Caenorhabditis elegans: one gene and its partner. The protein of the gene in region 2 purifies or fractionates together with the protein of the main gene of each other region. This does not show direct contact. Each region holds a gene or a part of one and is shown on either strand. Other genes may lie near its edges.

What was found. The genes of interacting proteins can lie anywhere in the genome.
Region 1: the proteins of F45E1.5 (region 2) and Y71H2AR.2 fractionate together in Caenorhabditis elegans (co-fractionation; one large-scale study listed by BioGRID). This does not show direct contact.

What each region holds. Positions count from the first base shown.
Region 1 is NC_003281.10:2,837,483-2,844,566, forward strand, and holds Y71H2AR.2 (Peptidase C1A papain C-terminal domain-containing protein), read right to left. Parts: upstream 3,446-7,084; coding exon 3,375-3,445; intron 3,298-3,374; coding exon 2,902-3,297; intron 2,471-2,901; coding exon 2,292-2,470; intron 1,927-2,291; coding exon 1,673-1,926; 3' UTR 1,638-1,672; downstream 1-1,637. Other genes in the region: josd-1 (ubiquitinyl hydrolase 1), read left to right, coding at 122-191, 258-400, 657-807; H34I24.2 (CUB domain-containing protein), read left to right, coding at 4,689-4,726, 4,947-5,278, 5,539-5,910, 5,962-5,982, 6,914-7,066.
Region 2 is NC_003284.9:7,973,026-7,982,345, forward strand, and holds F45E1.5 (Rhodanese domain-containing protein), read left to right. Parts: upstream 1-3,674; coding exon 3,675-3,929; intron 3,930-5,152; coding exon 5,153-5,503; intron 5,504-5,548; coding exon 5,549-5,761; intron 5,762-5,808; coding exon 5,809-5,853; intron 5,854-5,902; coding exon 5,903-6,166; intron 6,167-6,609; coding exon 6,610-6,657; intron 6,658-6,702; coding exon 6,703-6,779; intron 6,780-6,830; coding exon 6,831-7,200; 3' UTR 7,201-7,710; downstream 7,711-9,320. Other genes in the region: his-71 (Histone H3.3 type 1), read right to left, coding at 8,521-8,705, 8,758-8,911, 8,958-9,029.

The DNA.
Region 1 (7,084 bases), on a different chromosome or scaffold from region 2:
CTGGAAAAACCGATAATTTCTTGAAAAAAATCGATAATTTCCGGAAAAATCGATAATTTCTTGAAAAAATGGAAAAATTATTTATTTTTTCAAAAATCAAATTTCAACAATTTTTTTTCAGATCCTGGATAGGAACCGGAAATTACGATGCGAATATCCTGATGGCGGCGCTTCAAAAACACGATTTAAAGGTGAACAACAACGATGCTCCGATCTTCCGCATCTTCGAAAAATCAATAATTATCGATTTTTTCCAGGTAATGTGGTTCGACAAGCGTGTTTCAGTCGAAAAAATCAATATGGAAAATGTGAAAGCAGTGGTTTTTAATATTCCATCACGGACCCTCCTCACATTGTACAGGGGACGACATTGGTTTGCAGTTATTCAGAAAAATGGAATGTGAGTTGCCGAAAAATCGATAAATTCGGAAGTTAGAATTATCGATTTTTTTTCTTCAAGAATCACCGATTCTTCCAAAAAATTGATGATTTCTATGAGAAATTACTGAATTTTCTTTTTAAAAATTATCGATTTTTTAAAGAAATTATCGGATTTCTCGATAATTATCGATATTTTGAAAAAAAATTTCGATCTTTTCGATTAATTATCGATTATTCATTGATTTTACTTCAAAAATTATTGATTTTCTTTCCAGATTCTACAACGTCGACTCAAAAATCAAACAGCCGCAGGTGATCGAAGATATTCGGAAGTTTGTGAAAATCCACGTGGATTCGCCTGATTCGGAAGTGATGCTGGTCGTGGAAAACAGTGTCGACGAGGCGACGGTTGTCGATAAAAATTAAAAAAATCAATTTTTTTCTTAAAATTTCATTTTAATCTTAAAAAATCGTGTAAAAATTGCAATTTCATCTATTTTTCTTTCTTTTTTCCATACATTTCAGGGTGATTTTTTTTGTTGATAGATTTTTTGTGTGCATAATTTTGTAAATAAATTACTTTTGTGGTTTCTATAAAGATTTTGTTTGAAAAACCAATAAACTGGGACAAGAAAAAAATGGTGGTGGCCTAGAAAAAATGTTGGTGGCCTAGATTTACTGTTTTGCTGCCAAGAACCTAGGAAGACATCTGGTGTCAGGCTGTCTCATCACTGTTTGATCCACAATAAAATGCGACATTTTTTGTACGTGAGCACGTTCTTAACCATGCAAAATCATTTGAGAACTCTACTCCCGCATTTTTTGTAGATGGGAGTAGATCAAAACGTAGATGAAACCGTAATGGGACATTATGACACCACATGAGAAGACGAAATTTTTTATCCGCGCCAAGTACATAAATGGTAAAGTTTAAAAAATATTGGGTGTTCTCCGGAAAAACATTCTGAAAAAAGTTAATTTGAGATATAAATTTTTAAAATTATGAAAACTAAATGATTGGTTATGGTACATCTTGAAAAGTACGGTCAAACTTATGCCTGAAAATTCAGATTTTATGATTGAACTGGAAGCTACTGGTACTTAAAAAATTTGGTATATAAATTCAGAAAGAGAAAAAGAAAATAAAAAACAGCAAAAATTTGAAACAAGTACCCGAAGAAAAATTCTGAAAAATTTAATTTTAAGTGAGATCTATATCAAAATATAAAGGAAGTCAGAAGCCCGCGCTGTAGATAAATATTCATTCTTATCGTAATAACAATTCTCAAAATTATACAAACTCGGTAAGAACTGCAATTGTAGTTGCCATTGCACATGCATTAACATCTCTTGCCAACTTCATATATCCCTGCTCTCCCCACGATGTCCCGAATGAGCCCTTCACAATCCAATATTTTTGCTCTCCCTCGATACCGTACCCAACGATTACCATTGATCGGATTTCATGTGTACTTGTACATTCTTCAATGGATGGGTTGTAGATTCCGATTTTATAATCGTAGAGGGATGGAGGGGCGCGCATCGCTGAAAATATTTGTATTGCTATTAAAGGTGGAGTAGCGCCAGTGGGGAATATGTTAAAAACCACTCCTTTGGTCCCAAAATGGCCAAATATCGTGATAAAACTTTTCAAAAAATTTTTGAAAATTTTTTATTAACTGTCAAAAAGTGGCAATTACTCAATTTTTGCCACTCATAATTTTGGAAGTCGACCAAAAAAAAAATTTTTTACTAAAATTTTTTAAAGAGTTTTATTATGATATTCGGTAGTTTTGGATCATTATAAGTACATTTAGACCAAATCCCAATTGGCGCTACTCTAACTTTAAATGATCTATCAAGAAATTTACTTTTTGCACAATTATGACCAATAAAAAAAAAAAACTCACTGAAAAACGCGGGTCCATAATTTGTGACATAAACTTTCCCCAGTACTTCATTACCCTCTGCCACAACTCCTTTTTTTAAATGAATTTTTGATTTAGTTGAGTCAAAGGTACACTTTTCATTTGTCTTGTCAACATATGGATAGTCTGCTTCTGTTTCTATGCCATGAGTGGCGAGGTATCTGAAATTTTGAATATTTAGCGCTAAAGGTTTTCATCTGACAAAATTGTTAAATAATTAGGTTCCGATTCACATTTATGGGTGTTTTAAACGACAAATGCTACCTATCATTATTGCATAAGCATTTATTATCAATTGATCACATTTTTACCACTCTATTAACTTCAAAGATTTAGGTATTTGAAGACAAGGTCTAATGACCTTCAAATTTGCGTGTCTCAAAAACGGATAGACTAATTAATAAACGTAATTAATAAACGAAATGTTAATCATGTTTGAAATAAAGAACAGTTTGCTGGTTGGAAATTTCTAGACCTTTCCGGCATCGAGGTACACGAGCTTGTATTTCTAAAACGACAGAGCCACTATAAAAATTTTCGCTTTTCAATTGCTCATCACGGTCTAAACCTTAAATCAACCCAAAACAATTACCCAATAGCATTCATCGCAAATTGCTCCTCACATCCCTTATATCCCTGATCATTACAATCAATAAGCTGCTGCTCAGAAAATGACAAAAGTGTTCCATTTGTAGCCTTGGCGTACATTGACTCAATACTGGAAGTTATCGCAAATGCGTGGGATGCATTGCATTTTCCCTGATCTTTAACTGGTCCAACAATTCCTTTCTCTCTCCAATCAAGAAATTCCTCAGTGGTTCGGTCCATGTGAATTGGGGTTTCCCATTGAAATCTTGTTGGGAGTGATTCAGAGGTTCTCTGCTGAACTAAAGAACCAATGATGTAGAATGTCAACGCAGTTAGAGTGAAGAGGATAATGGAATTGAAGGTGCTTCTCGAGTTTGCTGGCTTTTCGAACAAGTCTTCTCTGGAATAATTTACTTTCGATGTTAGGCGTAGGCTTAGGCTTAGGCCTTCTTCGTTTGTATAAAAAGAAAGACTTACCCCATTGCAACGAAGACTTTTTGCTTCTTCGCCTCATCTGCTTTCGAGCTTAATTTAGTAGCACTGACCATTGAGAATTTGTGATTTTCTTGCTATTTTCATTTAACTTTTATATATCCACTTATTGCTAACGATATTTTATTCCTCATGATGAGTCAGTCAAGTTCAAAAGTTATCAGCAATAGAAAACAAAAAAAAACTTGTTTTCAGTGAGAGATTTAGAGAATTGAAGTGGTAGTAAAGTAATTTCCTTCGGTTCTATTTGTTGTGTGATTTGTTTTTGATATCTATGTAGACATGTAGGCATGTAGGCATGTAGACAGGTAGGCATTTTTTGGAGTTTGGATTCAGTAGCTCGCATAACCGCCAAGTTTAAGCAGAGATACCTTTAGAGATATCAAACCTTTTAGAGTATAAATTGAGGTTAAATAAAACTAGGGCTGTACAACCGGACGTCCGGTCGTCCGGTTGGGGGTAGCTATCCACGACGGCCGACAATTTCCGAGTTTCACCACCCACTATAAAATTGCTGATTAAGTATAGTGAGTGGCGAAACTCGGAAATTGTCGGCCGCCGTGGAAACCTACCCCAAAACCGGACGCGGTGCGTCCGGTGGTGTCAAAATCGGACGACCGGACGCCGATTTGTACAGCCCTAAATAAAACTGACCATTTATATGCGAAATTAGTAGATTTTCCAAACTTTGAAAATTCATATCTGACTTCAAATTAAATGTTTCAAAAATTCCCGTAGCCATTTTGTCGCAAATTTTGTGTTCTTTCAGAATTTGAAAGCGGCATTCCAACAACTTCCGAAATTGCCGAGTTCAAGCAGGAAATGTGGATTTTTGAGCACATTTTGAGTTAATTTGGAATAGTCAATTTAAATGCAAAAATAGTAGATTTTTCAAACTTTGAAAATTCATATCTGACTTCAGACTAAATTTTTCGAAAATTCCCGTAGCCATTTTTTCGCAAATTTTGCGTTTTTTCAGAATTTAAAACGACAATTTGTAGGCATGTAGGCATGTTTGGTTCATTTACAGTCAAATTTGACCACGTTTCAGTCAATTTCTCTTCCATTTTTCACATTTAAACTCCCCTTCCTGTTTAAAATTGCCGTCGTAAAAACGGTATAAATCATTCTTATCACCAGCAAATATATCAGTAGTTGTGCATTATGACGGTAGTACATTTTTGGATGGGGAGCAAACATAAATCATTCAATTCGACGCCCTTTTTAAGCTGATAAGGCAAATTTCTAAATTTTCGGCAGTATCACTTCTGTTTCTACACAGGCTTCTTGTCGCTAGAAATGAAATTCCGGTTTTTGGCGTTATGTGTTGGGTTACTGTAAGTTTTGGGCAAAATTGTTTGATTTTTTTCGTATTTTTTCCAGAAACTGGGGTTTTTTAGAAGAAGCATCGAGTTTTTTCAAATTTTTAGCCGACTTTTTAAAATGGAAAATATTGATTTTTCCAAGAAATTGACGATTTTTCTTCCAAAATTATTAATTTTCTTGGAAAAGGTATTGATTTTTCTCGAAACAATAATTTTTCCAAATTTTTTTCAGATTAGCCACATTGGTTAGTGGCAATGGAGACCCGGGAGCCTCAAATTCTTCATCGGTAGCAACAACCGTCGCAGCTTCTCCCTCAACAGACGCTTCCTCATCAGCAGCACCATCCCAGGCTCCAGCTTCTCCAACTTCCGTTGACCCATCTGCCACTACTCAAGCAGCCGCATCCTCTGGAGCACCCGTATCTACAGTATCCCCATCGTCCGGAGCAACCACTGCCGAGCCATCAAGCTCTTCGGCGGCTCCAGTGACCTCTGGAGGGTCTACTGTATCAGCTGGACCAACTACACCAGCACCGCTTCCAAATGTGACGTACAGTCTTTTGCGTGAGTTGTATTAGATAGCTATGTGAAGTAGGCACGAGATCCACTGTAGGTAGCTTGGTAGGCAGTCGTAGGCTGCCTGGTAGGCAGTCGTAGGTAGGTTAAACAGCGCAGAAGACGGGAAGGCACGCGTAGGTAGAAAGACTATCAGACACCGAGTGCCCACGTGAAATGCAAAGACAACTTTAGCAGTACATAGAATGGCATGTAGGCCGCCTTGAAGGCAGGCAAGTAGGCGTTTACACCTATTCACAAATTTTCAGAGTTCTCCTCTCCGGTATGCGTGGATGCTTCTTGCACCTACACTTTCAATGCTCCTGGCAACAACCAAGTCCTTCTCGCCACTGATCAATCTGCTGTCGCCACAGAGCGCACCCAATTCTCAGGTCTTCAAGGTCAGGCCAGTGATAAGGATAAGGCTGTGAAGGAGGCCAATGATGAGGCAGTTCAAAAGATTAAGGATCTTCAAGCCCTACTGGATAGTATTCAAAAAAATTTGAACGCGATTCAAAATAATATCATAGTGATCACAAATCAGCAAAATGACGCGCAGACTACTCTGACGTTTGTGGAGAAGTTTATCGGTCAGGTGAACTCGGCGCAGGGCAATTGTCTATATCAGAGATGTTTGAAGCGTGAGTTCTGAAACAGTGGAGGTTTTTTCTAGTAATTGTGATTTTTTTCAGCGACAACTCCAGCACCACCAAGTAAGTTGCAATGAAAGGAGGCCAAGAACACCTAACAGGGATGAAAGCTTTGAAACGATAGTCTAGATTACTACAAAAATATCATTTTTTAAAAAAATATTTTCAACGGTTGTATTTTTGTCCCTGTCTTTTCGGCAAATTTTTTGAAAGTTTTGAGAAAAAACTCATTCTGAAAAATTTTAAAGAAAATTTATACAAAAAACAAGCGGAAAACTTTCGAAATAATCCAAAATTTTCAGGAAAATCGGTAAATCGGCAAATTGCCGGAATTAAAAATTTTTGGCAAATTGTCAATTTGCCGAAGTTTCCGGAAAACGGAAATTTTGGTTTTGCACATTTTTTTTGGAAATGTCATAATTTCAATTTTAATCGGCAAAAAAAAATTTCCAGCAAACCGGCAAATCGGCAATTGCCGGAATTGAAATTTCTTGCAAATCGGCAAATTGCCGAAAGTGAAAATTTCCGGCACATCGGCAAAATTCCGGAATTGAAAATTTCTGGCAAATCGGCAATTGCCAGAATTGAAAATTTCTGGAAAATCGGCAAATTGTCAGAATTGAAATTTTTGGCAAATCGGCAATTTCCGGAATTGAAACTTTCTGGCAAATCGGCAATTGCCAGAATTGAAAATTTCTGGCAAATCGGGAAATTGCCGGAATTGAAAACTTCTGGCAAATCGGCAAGTTGCCGGAATTGAAAATTTCTGGCAAATCGGCAATTGCCAGAATTGAAAATTTCTGGCAAATCGGCAATTGCCAGAATTGAAAATTTCTGGAAAATCGGCAAAGTGCCGGAATTGAAAATTTCCGGCCAACCGGCAAATCGGCAAATCGGCAAATTGCCGGCAACTCGGCAAACCGGCAATTTTTCGATTTTCCGAACGGCAATTGGCGCCCACCCCTGAATCAAGCAAAGTAATCTTAACTTGCAGCCACCTCAACTGCTCCACCACCAACAACTACTCCAAATCCATGTTTGGCATTTAATTGCACAGGAAGCGGGCCATGCCAATTGGATAGTCTCAACAGACCATACTGCACAAATTGCCCGGGAGATATGGACGGATACACTCAGTGCCAGCAAGGTTAGCTTTTTTTTTAGA
Region 2 (9,320 bases):
GATAAATCTTTTCGTAACAGTGGTTGACTTAAGAATCAAAAACTGATGCTCAATGGCGTCATCAAACTAATACAATTCGAAAGTTTGTCTATTTGAATATCTGGATTAATCAGCAAGGGGTTTTCTATAGGTTGACGACTTGGTCACGCAATAATCGGCTACAAAAGCCCAGAAAAATTGAATGATTTATCATAAGTCGTTTAAATTTATTTCCGGAAGCTTACAAATCCATTACTTACAGTGAAGATTTGTAATAATTGAGAATGATACATTTTTCACAGTCACTAGAAAGTTCCTTCAAACATACCGTATTTCACCTGTTAGTTTTGCACCCCTCTTTCTGTCAGAACAGCAATTCCTTGCGGAAACTTCAACAATTTCGTCATTTTTGGCTAAAATAAATTTTAAAGTGTGAATATAATTGATAAATTAATAAAAAGTATGTATTTTGTATGATCAGAATGTATCAAATCTAGTTGTTGATGAGAAATGGTCAATAGTCTTGCAGTCTCTATTAGTCTTGCATGCAAGACGAAAACAGAAATACTGTATTTTGAGCTTCACAATTAAGTGCAGTGTGCCACAGTAAATATTTAACTGGTAAAATATTTCAAAAAATTAGACAAATAACCTGTCACGATAGTTTTAATGCAAATTACCGTAGATGATTCTGATCCTTTTCTAAAAAGAAGTGGTGCTATACGTCCTACCAAAATTGCTATATAAACCGTCGAAACTGTAGTTAGAGCTACAACATTTATTTTCTCGAGACTACTTCAAATTATTTTCAGATCTTTTGTCGCTTATTTTGTTATATTATAAAATTGTTGTCCCAATTATTTTCGGCAATCCTTCTTTGTTTTTTGAGTATATGTTTTTTATGATTACTAAATTGTGAGAGCCAATTCACCACGATCAATTTTAGATCAAGAACTTTAGTGACACCAATTTCCCTTTTCCCAATAAACATGAACAACACGCGAACCACATTACTTTTTCAAGTATACTCCGACTACTCCGATTCAAATGATTACAAATATTTTGTGAGATTTTCATATTGTACATTCAAAGAAACATCAACAGCATTTCGATGACTGCATTTCTGACCAAAAGAAACGAATGCCATAAATCCATTCAGAACGGGCACATTCGCAGAAATGGCATCTTTCTTTACGATGCCATGGACACGTTTCTGCATTTACTTCTCAGTGTTTTTGTTCATATAGTCACACCTACCTATCAGGGGTGAGCGGAAATTGAAACTTAATTGCAATTGTTGAATTTTTCACATTATATTCACTTGCCAGTCTTTGTGAATTCCCACAACGCACACTGCGCCCGTCGCTTTGTGTGTAATAAATGTGATTGAATAGAAACACAATTTTTTGCTCTAAATCTACAGTTCAATCTCATTTCCCAAGGATCTGGAATGCCCGCCGAGCTTTTGAACCAGACATGTTTAATTTCTAAACCCATTTTGAGAAACGGTTAAATATGAGTTTAAAGCTATAAAATTACCGGAGTGAGCTTGCGACAAGCTTCTCGAAATGCTCAGATCTGCATTGGCGCTCTCAGGACATTCAGGTAGACATTATGTTTTTTTGCCAATGCATATCATTTTCTTGATTATAGAGAAATTTGAAAAATGTCTGGAATTTTTTTCACAAATCGAAAACTGTGATAACCGGAAGCATGCTTTATTTTCCGAAAACTTACAACTTTTTTCATAAAATCACAAAAATGATATCTATTGGCAAACATATAATATGTGCACCTTCAGACCCTTCCCAGTAACGCTTATTCCACTTGTGAAGATTTCAAATTGATCTTTTCAATTTCAACCTTATTCTCACTTTACATGAAGTTTTTTTTTGCAATATGTAATTGGATATCACAATTTAGTTCCTTGTAAGCCGCAAACAATTAATTTTTTGTTGACTTTTCCGGTAGAATTAGATCTCAGAGAAGGTCAATTGTTATTTTTAGAACAAACAAATACATTTTAGGATGTTCAACCTAGATATAAATCCGAGTTGCATTGAGCAATGTTGCAATGAAGTTTAGCCAAGTCGCCTAAGGGTTATTCCTTTTTTTTTCGTTTTGAATTTCAATTAAAAAGTTCTAGATAAAATATATGTAATGTTAACATACTTTCATTAGTTTTTGTTGAAATTAGACCTCATACACCAAAAAACTTGCTCTAACTATAACTTCAATTTTTTTGTTTTTACACTTCGTTTCACTTTCTCCGTGATGTTTCTCATTCCTCAATTTTGTACCTGTTTCTGTATTAACGTATACATTACAAACGTACCAATTTTTTGTATCAAAATGTGTTTTAATATTGTCTAAAATATAATTTTCGGGATTGTGTGTTTTTCTAATTTCTTGTTGGTTATAGACGGCTTTGCCGCAAACTTGCCACTTGTCTAGACCAATTTCTCTTGAAAATATGATCATATTTGAAAAGAAAGCCCGACTCTGGGTTTTCAAATGTTTTCAGTGCTCTATTGTGCTAATACAGCTAGGTCAGAGACTATAAACTAGTTACAACTTGACAGATGTTTCTATAGACACATGAAAGATAAATATTTCAGTACGTGTTCGGTGAACTGGAAATTCTCATTCACCGTCATCTAATGTTTTGTTCTATTTTCAATTTAGCTTAAGGATGACATGACATTGCTGAGCACATTACACTTTTCCTTGAAAGTTTTGATCTTTTGATTTTTATTCTCAATATGTTAGACTACTTGGTTATTTTTTCCTTTGGCTTACTAGTTTAGCTATAATTGTTAGTTTCATATTTAAACCTCTTGTTACCTTGATTTTAAAATTAGTGAGGAGAATGACCATTAATCTAGTTCAGACAAACGGCAACAAGCATTTTCAACTGATAAAATAGTTTACAAAGTGTTTACTACTTTTATTTATATGATAACGTTTCTATAACTGTTCTTGACAATCGTTTATGACGTCTTGAAACTTTTTCTTTTGGTCGAGTTTAATATTGCAACAGTTTAGCGGTTTTCCTTAAAACTAGCAACAAAACAGTCATAAAAGTGGGATCAAGAGATAACCCATTTATATTTATATTTGAGTAAAGAATACAATTATTTTAAGCTTCTATTTTGCGTATGCATTTTTTAGTGTATAACAATTGATAAACATGTTATTTTGTAATTCCACTTATAGTGTATTGCTTGAAGCAATATGAAGGAGAAATGTTTATAATCAGTCTAATTAGTGACCGAATAACATAACAAAAAATAGACAATTTTTAAAGATTTTTTTATTTGCAGTTGAAAGTGACAATTACTCACCTATCATAATCTTGAAAGTTGACCAAAAAAAGTCTCAAAAAAGTCAGAGTTTTAATTTTAACTATGATCATATTTTTTGATTGAATATTGTAGGACACAGACGTGTTCAAAATTATTCAAAATGTCCTATCTATGCTAATGTTAAATATTATGTATTTTTGGAATATCATTTTAAAAACATGTCCCGCATCATTTCTTTAAATTTTTCCAGATTTTTGTTCCACTCAAAAAAATGGGCGGAGCTGTACTACGTGATGTTATTTTTCACGACAAACTCTTTCCTCAGTGTTTCTCTTTGCAGTCTTTTTCTCAACTATTTTGACAAACAATCTTACAATATCATGTATTCAGATGGGTTCTAAAAGTTCGAAACCAGAGGGACAAGAAAACAAGCCTTGTTTCTTAGATGCTTCTCAAAAACGCAGAGAAGTTATTTCAAATCTTCCTGATGAATCGGAACATGACACCGACTCGTTGAAGGCTCAATCAGAAGGCCGAGGACTGAAGCACGTCCAATTTGTTGATAAGCTGAAATTCGATTGGGATGATCGTCCTTCACAAACAAATCCAGCACCACCCAAAACATTGGAAGATTATGAAATCGAAGTAAGTGCAATTATTTTGCAGCTTAACTAATGTTCAATATGTTTTTCTAATACCGTATTTCTTCTATAGTATGGCCTTCCTTTTAGACTTGCACTTCTTTTTAGTATTACACTTTGAAAACCCTCCAAAAATTAATATTGAACTACCTATTAGTGTTGCACTCCCTAATAGTCTCGCATCTACTTTTATTTCTGGTACAAATCCTCCTTTCTAATTTTAAGATTTTAACAACATTTTTGCCTATTTTGCAAAAATTTTTGACAAAATTTCTATAAGATTGAAGTTATTAAGCCTTTCTGTTTCAATTACAATTGAATGTTCTAAATTATCAAAAAAAAATTGGAGTTTTTCCAAATAAAAAACTAATAAAAATGTTCTGAAAAACAGTATTGCTCTTCCTATTATACTCCCTAACAGTATTGCAAGCGGGAATACCTTCGAAAAATAGTATTGCTAAAGCCATACTAATAGAAGAAATACGGTAGTTCAAAACATTTTTTTCAAATCTAGTCCAGGCTGTAAACTTTCTAAACTTTTTTAGTCGGCTTTTAAAACAACACCTGGACAAGTGTAGTCGTGAGTAAAACATAGAAAAAGTAAAGAACACTGGTGTGCAAACAGCAGACGTCTAGACTTAAAGTGTCGTTTTATGGGAACACGAGATCTTAATACTTACTAGAAATATGAGTCTGGCAAGTTGGTCTTTGGATTATAGGTTTCTTAGAAAACGAGTGAAAAGAATATCGCATGTAGTAATCTTTGCAAGTAGTAATTTCAACCAGCTAGTGGGTTCATGCAAGAGTTATTACATTGAGTTAGTAATTGTGTACATCAATGCATTACTAGTGAAGAAAAAGTTGGGAAACGTGCAAATTGATTTCAGGTGGATATTGAATGTGGTGTAGCTTACTTTGAGAATGCGCTATTCACTATTCTGTGATAAAACAATATGAATAAGTGTAAAATCAAAATAAAATTCTGTCTGTTTTAAATGCAATAGTTAGCCTCTTCATTTAATTTAAAGAACAATTAAAAAATTTCACAGATCGCATGAATTAATCCATCATTTGTATTTTCTCTAGTTTCGCACAGAAAATGTATACTTACCTGAATGCCGACTTAACCATACTTTGTCGTTAGAAATATTATAGACCCAAACTAACACAAAGATAGTACTTTTCTCATCTGCGCAGAAGTTTTATTGCAAATTAGTTAAATTACAGAGCATGCTTGGGGATGACAAGGACAATAAGACAGCTGATAAAAATGTAGTCTGGAAGCGTAAGGGACCTAAACACGGTTGTGTTCAGTTTTTTCGCAAAGAAAAGAAAGAAACCAACCTTGAACCAGAACCTCCTAAACATCCAGGCGCTGACAAGGCTGAGAGATGGCAAAAACAAACATGGAAAGTTTTCTCCGGTCCACTACCACCTTTGGTTAGTACATCGGGAATTGATGATGAAGAAACTGTTATCCTGAGCAAAGTTATTCACGAAGCAACTCAAGAAGCATGTATAGTGAAGACGTCGGATAACCCGGCATCAAGTGAGGAATTCAAAGTGACACCAGTTCATGTAACTAGCTCTTTGCAAATGACCTACATTTCAATTAAATTTCAGCCTACTAAAAAACCGTTTATAATGATCCATCAAACAAATGAGCAAGAAATCATGAAAACACAAGGAAGCTTTCGTTTGAACCAATGGCTCAATGTCAAAACAGATATTAATAGCGTATCATTGGAGAATTCGGATGATTCAATTTTTATGCAGATGTTCAATATCATTTCGCATGAACGAAATCGTCGATGGTATGCCTATCGAAGAGAACATGTAAGCAATTAGTGAATTTAAATAAGTTTTGAATTTTTTTTTTCTAGGAATCCCTGACACTGGAAGAAGCTTATTTGATTGGAAACGGAGGAGTAAGTTTTATTTTTAAACAGTTTAATTAACTTATTTCATGAAATTCAGTATCTTCCCGGAGAGACGAAACGTTTTGGTATAGCGGAGGTCGCAAGAAAAAAAATCAGTAACACTCTAAGAATCAACATGATTCCAGTTGTTCACAGTCATCAACCCGTTATCGGTGTCCCATTCAAAGGATACTTGCGCGATATTGTTGAACTACCAGAATGTTCAATGGAATTCATTCAAATCATCAATCAGCACCTCATGCCTCACGGTCTTCAAGTTATTGATTTGAGACGCAGATCAGAGGAAGTGCTCGGACAACCGGTAAATTGGACAAACATTTAATACAACTGCATTTGTCGACAGTTCGCCTCAACTTCTAAACTAATTTTAGATTTTTCCAATAGGAATTTCAAGTTTCTAATGTTGGTTGAGAAATTGTGCCGCATTGTTTCAAATCGATGGGTTACAAATGCATTTGATTAAATTTGCTAATAAGACTGTGGCCTCTGATTTATTGTGACGATCATGGTGAAATACAGTATAGTAATAATGTTATTAATGTACATAGCATATTTAAGCAAATTTCTGACCGCGGAACCTTTTTCGATAATGTTCTCAGAATTGTTATTGGGTTCACTGAATAATTCGTAAAGTTGTAAGAACACAAGACTAAAAGACATTACTTTTCCGGCCAATAATTTATTTTTATTAACCAGTTGCAAAATCAATTCGCGTAATCCAAATATACATAATTTTTATTTCAGCCATTATACCATGATGATTACGAGATGGCCAATCACACCATTGACGCAGTGAGTTCAACATTTTTAACAAACACAATATTTTTTTTTTCACAGATATCACGTTCAGTTGAAGCTCTCAATTCCATCAAAAACACAGCAAAATATTTCATCGTTTATGCTATTTATGCAGAGTGAGCCCTTCTAAAAAAAGATCGTATGCTTATAGAAGTTTCTAATTTTAGCACAGTACCAATGTACATTTACCAAGCAATTGTCCGATTCAAGCCTGGGCTTCCAATCAATTCAGCTGACTGGATTGACGATGGAAAATCGCGATTAGAAATTGAAGAACCAGACATGGAGCCTGTTAACACTCTTGACAGTGTTTGCTGGTTAATGCAAATCAGAGAGTATCGGTACAAGGTTGCCGCAGAAAAATCAAAATATGAGAAAGAATTGAAGCAGAAGCAACGTGAAGAACAAAAAGAGCAGAAAGAACTGAAACGGCAACAATGTGAAGAGTTGAAGAGACAAAATGTAAAGAAACAGCAAGTAGCTAGCATGTCAACTTGGAAAAAAGTGAAGACTTTCTTCAGAATTAAATCGAACTAGGAATAATTCGAAATAATTGTTGTGTTATTTGTAAAATATCGTTGTTAACATTCCTATCTCATTTTCTACAAACCTCTTTATTTTCCCATCTCTTTGTTTTTCTGTGTTGTTACTTCTGAGAATCAGTATATTTACCGAGCAATGCAATGAATTGACACACAGAAATGCTTCCAACAAAAGTTCAAATTGCATACTGTGATTTTAGTAACTCTTTTTCACGTTTTACTACATTAGTGAACCTCTTATTTTTCTTTTGCAGTAAAAAGTTGATGTTCCTGACAACTGAGTTAAATCTTGGTTGTTTTACATTTTGAATTGCATAATTCGCCGATTATTTATTCATATTTCTACATACATTTTCGGAACGTTTGTCCTTTTATTTATACTTCTGTCTGCAATAACTGAACCTTCAAATTCATCTGATTGTAATTTAAATTTGTTCCCGTTCACAATCGTATCAATGATTCCTCAAATGTTAACAGTTCCGCGCGTACGATCTTTAAAACAGTTTTTCGAAAACTGATTTGATTTTCTCAAGTGTTAAAGTCCTACTATCCAAGAGACAGTAAACTTCTTGATGTTGCCCGCTATAAAATTAGATGTTAAAATGGCGTAGTTCAAAATGTTTTAGTACTAGCACTCCCTTTTCAGTTTCGTTAGTTTCGAAGGATTTTTCTGAAAATTTATTCAAAGAACACAACAACTGAACAAAAAACAAACGTGTTTAATTACCGAAAAACCTATTGCGGAATGAATAAAAAGCTAAAATTCCGAAAAAAAAACATTTGACAAAATTTCAAAACATCCCGTTGCGAAGCTTTAACTTTTTGGGGCATTTTTTTGCTTAAAAGAGTAAACTACCAGATTTTGCTATTCCACCAAAAACATGGCATGTTTTCAAGATAAAAGTAACCTGGTCCAGTTCTAAAAATTCAGAATCAACTTTCAAAAAACGTTCAAAAATATCTATTTGAAGGAATTATGTCTGAGTCGGAATTTGTTGGCGCGCTTTATAGTTGTTAGCCTCTTTCGGTATCTTCAAAGATTTCAATTCCTGATTTTCATCAAGATTTCAATTATTTCTATTTATTCTCAACGATTTGATAAATAAATATGTTTAATCCCAACTCATGCACGCTGTTCAAAAACAAGGAAACACAAAATATTTACGTTTATTACTTTTTTGTAAAAAAAATAACATAGAATAACATGCACTCTCGGCTAGAATAAAAGAGAGATTAAGTTAAGAGATGGAAGATTTTAGTACATTGAGAGATACATAATAGATTATTCAGAGAGATTGGCGAAACAGCTCAACGTTTATGCACGTTCTCCACGGATGCGTCGAGCAAGCTGGATGTCCTTTGGCATGATGGTGACACGTTTGGCGTGGATTGCGCACAAGTTGGTGTCTTCGAAGAGCCCAACGAGGTAGGCCTCAGAAGCCTCTTGCAGAGCTCCGATGGCGGCGGATTGGAAACGGAGATCGGTCTTGAAATCTTGAGCTAGAATAAAAACAGTTGATTAATTAATAAAGAACATTACAATAAATATTACCGATTTCACGAACAAGACGTTGGAATGGAAGCTTGCGGATGAGAAGCTCGGTGGACTTTTGGTAACGACGAATCTCACGAAGAGCGACGGTTCCTGGACGATAACGATGTGGTTTCTTGACACCTCCGGTAGTTGGAGCTGACTTGCGAGCCGCCTGCAATTATTTCTTCGATAAAAAATAATATTTCATAATGACAAACCTTAGTGGCCAGCTGCTTGCGAGGAGCTTTTCCTCCAGTTGATTTACGCGCGGTTTGCTTGGTACGAGCCATTTCAATTCTGGTTCACCTGAAAATTATACGCAATATTGATAATAGAAGTCAGCATCAAAATATATGGAAAATGAGATGACTAAGAGCAAGCGAACAGCGTGAAAAAACGAAGAAAAGTGGTGTTTATGCGGAGACGCGCAAGTCTGTTATTATGCGACTCAACATGACCGCGACGCGGCACGCTCCGCCAGTGAATATGGAATCTTGTGACCATGTGAAAATTAGAAAGTAAAACTAAACTTGTGATTACTTTCAGAGAATTAGAGAATTTAGATACTAATGAAACTGATG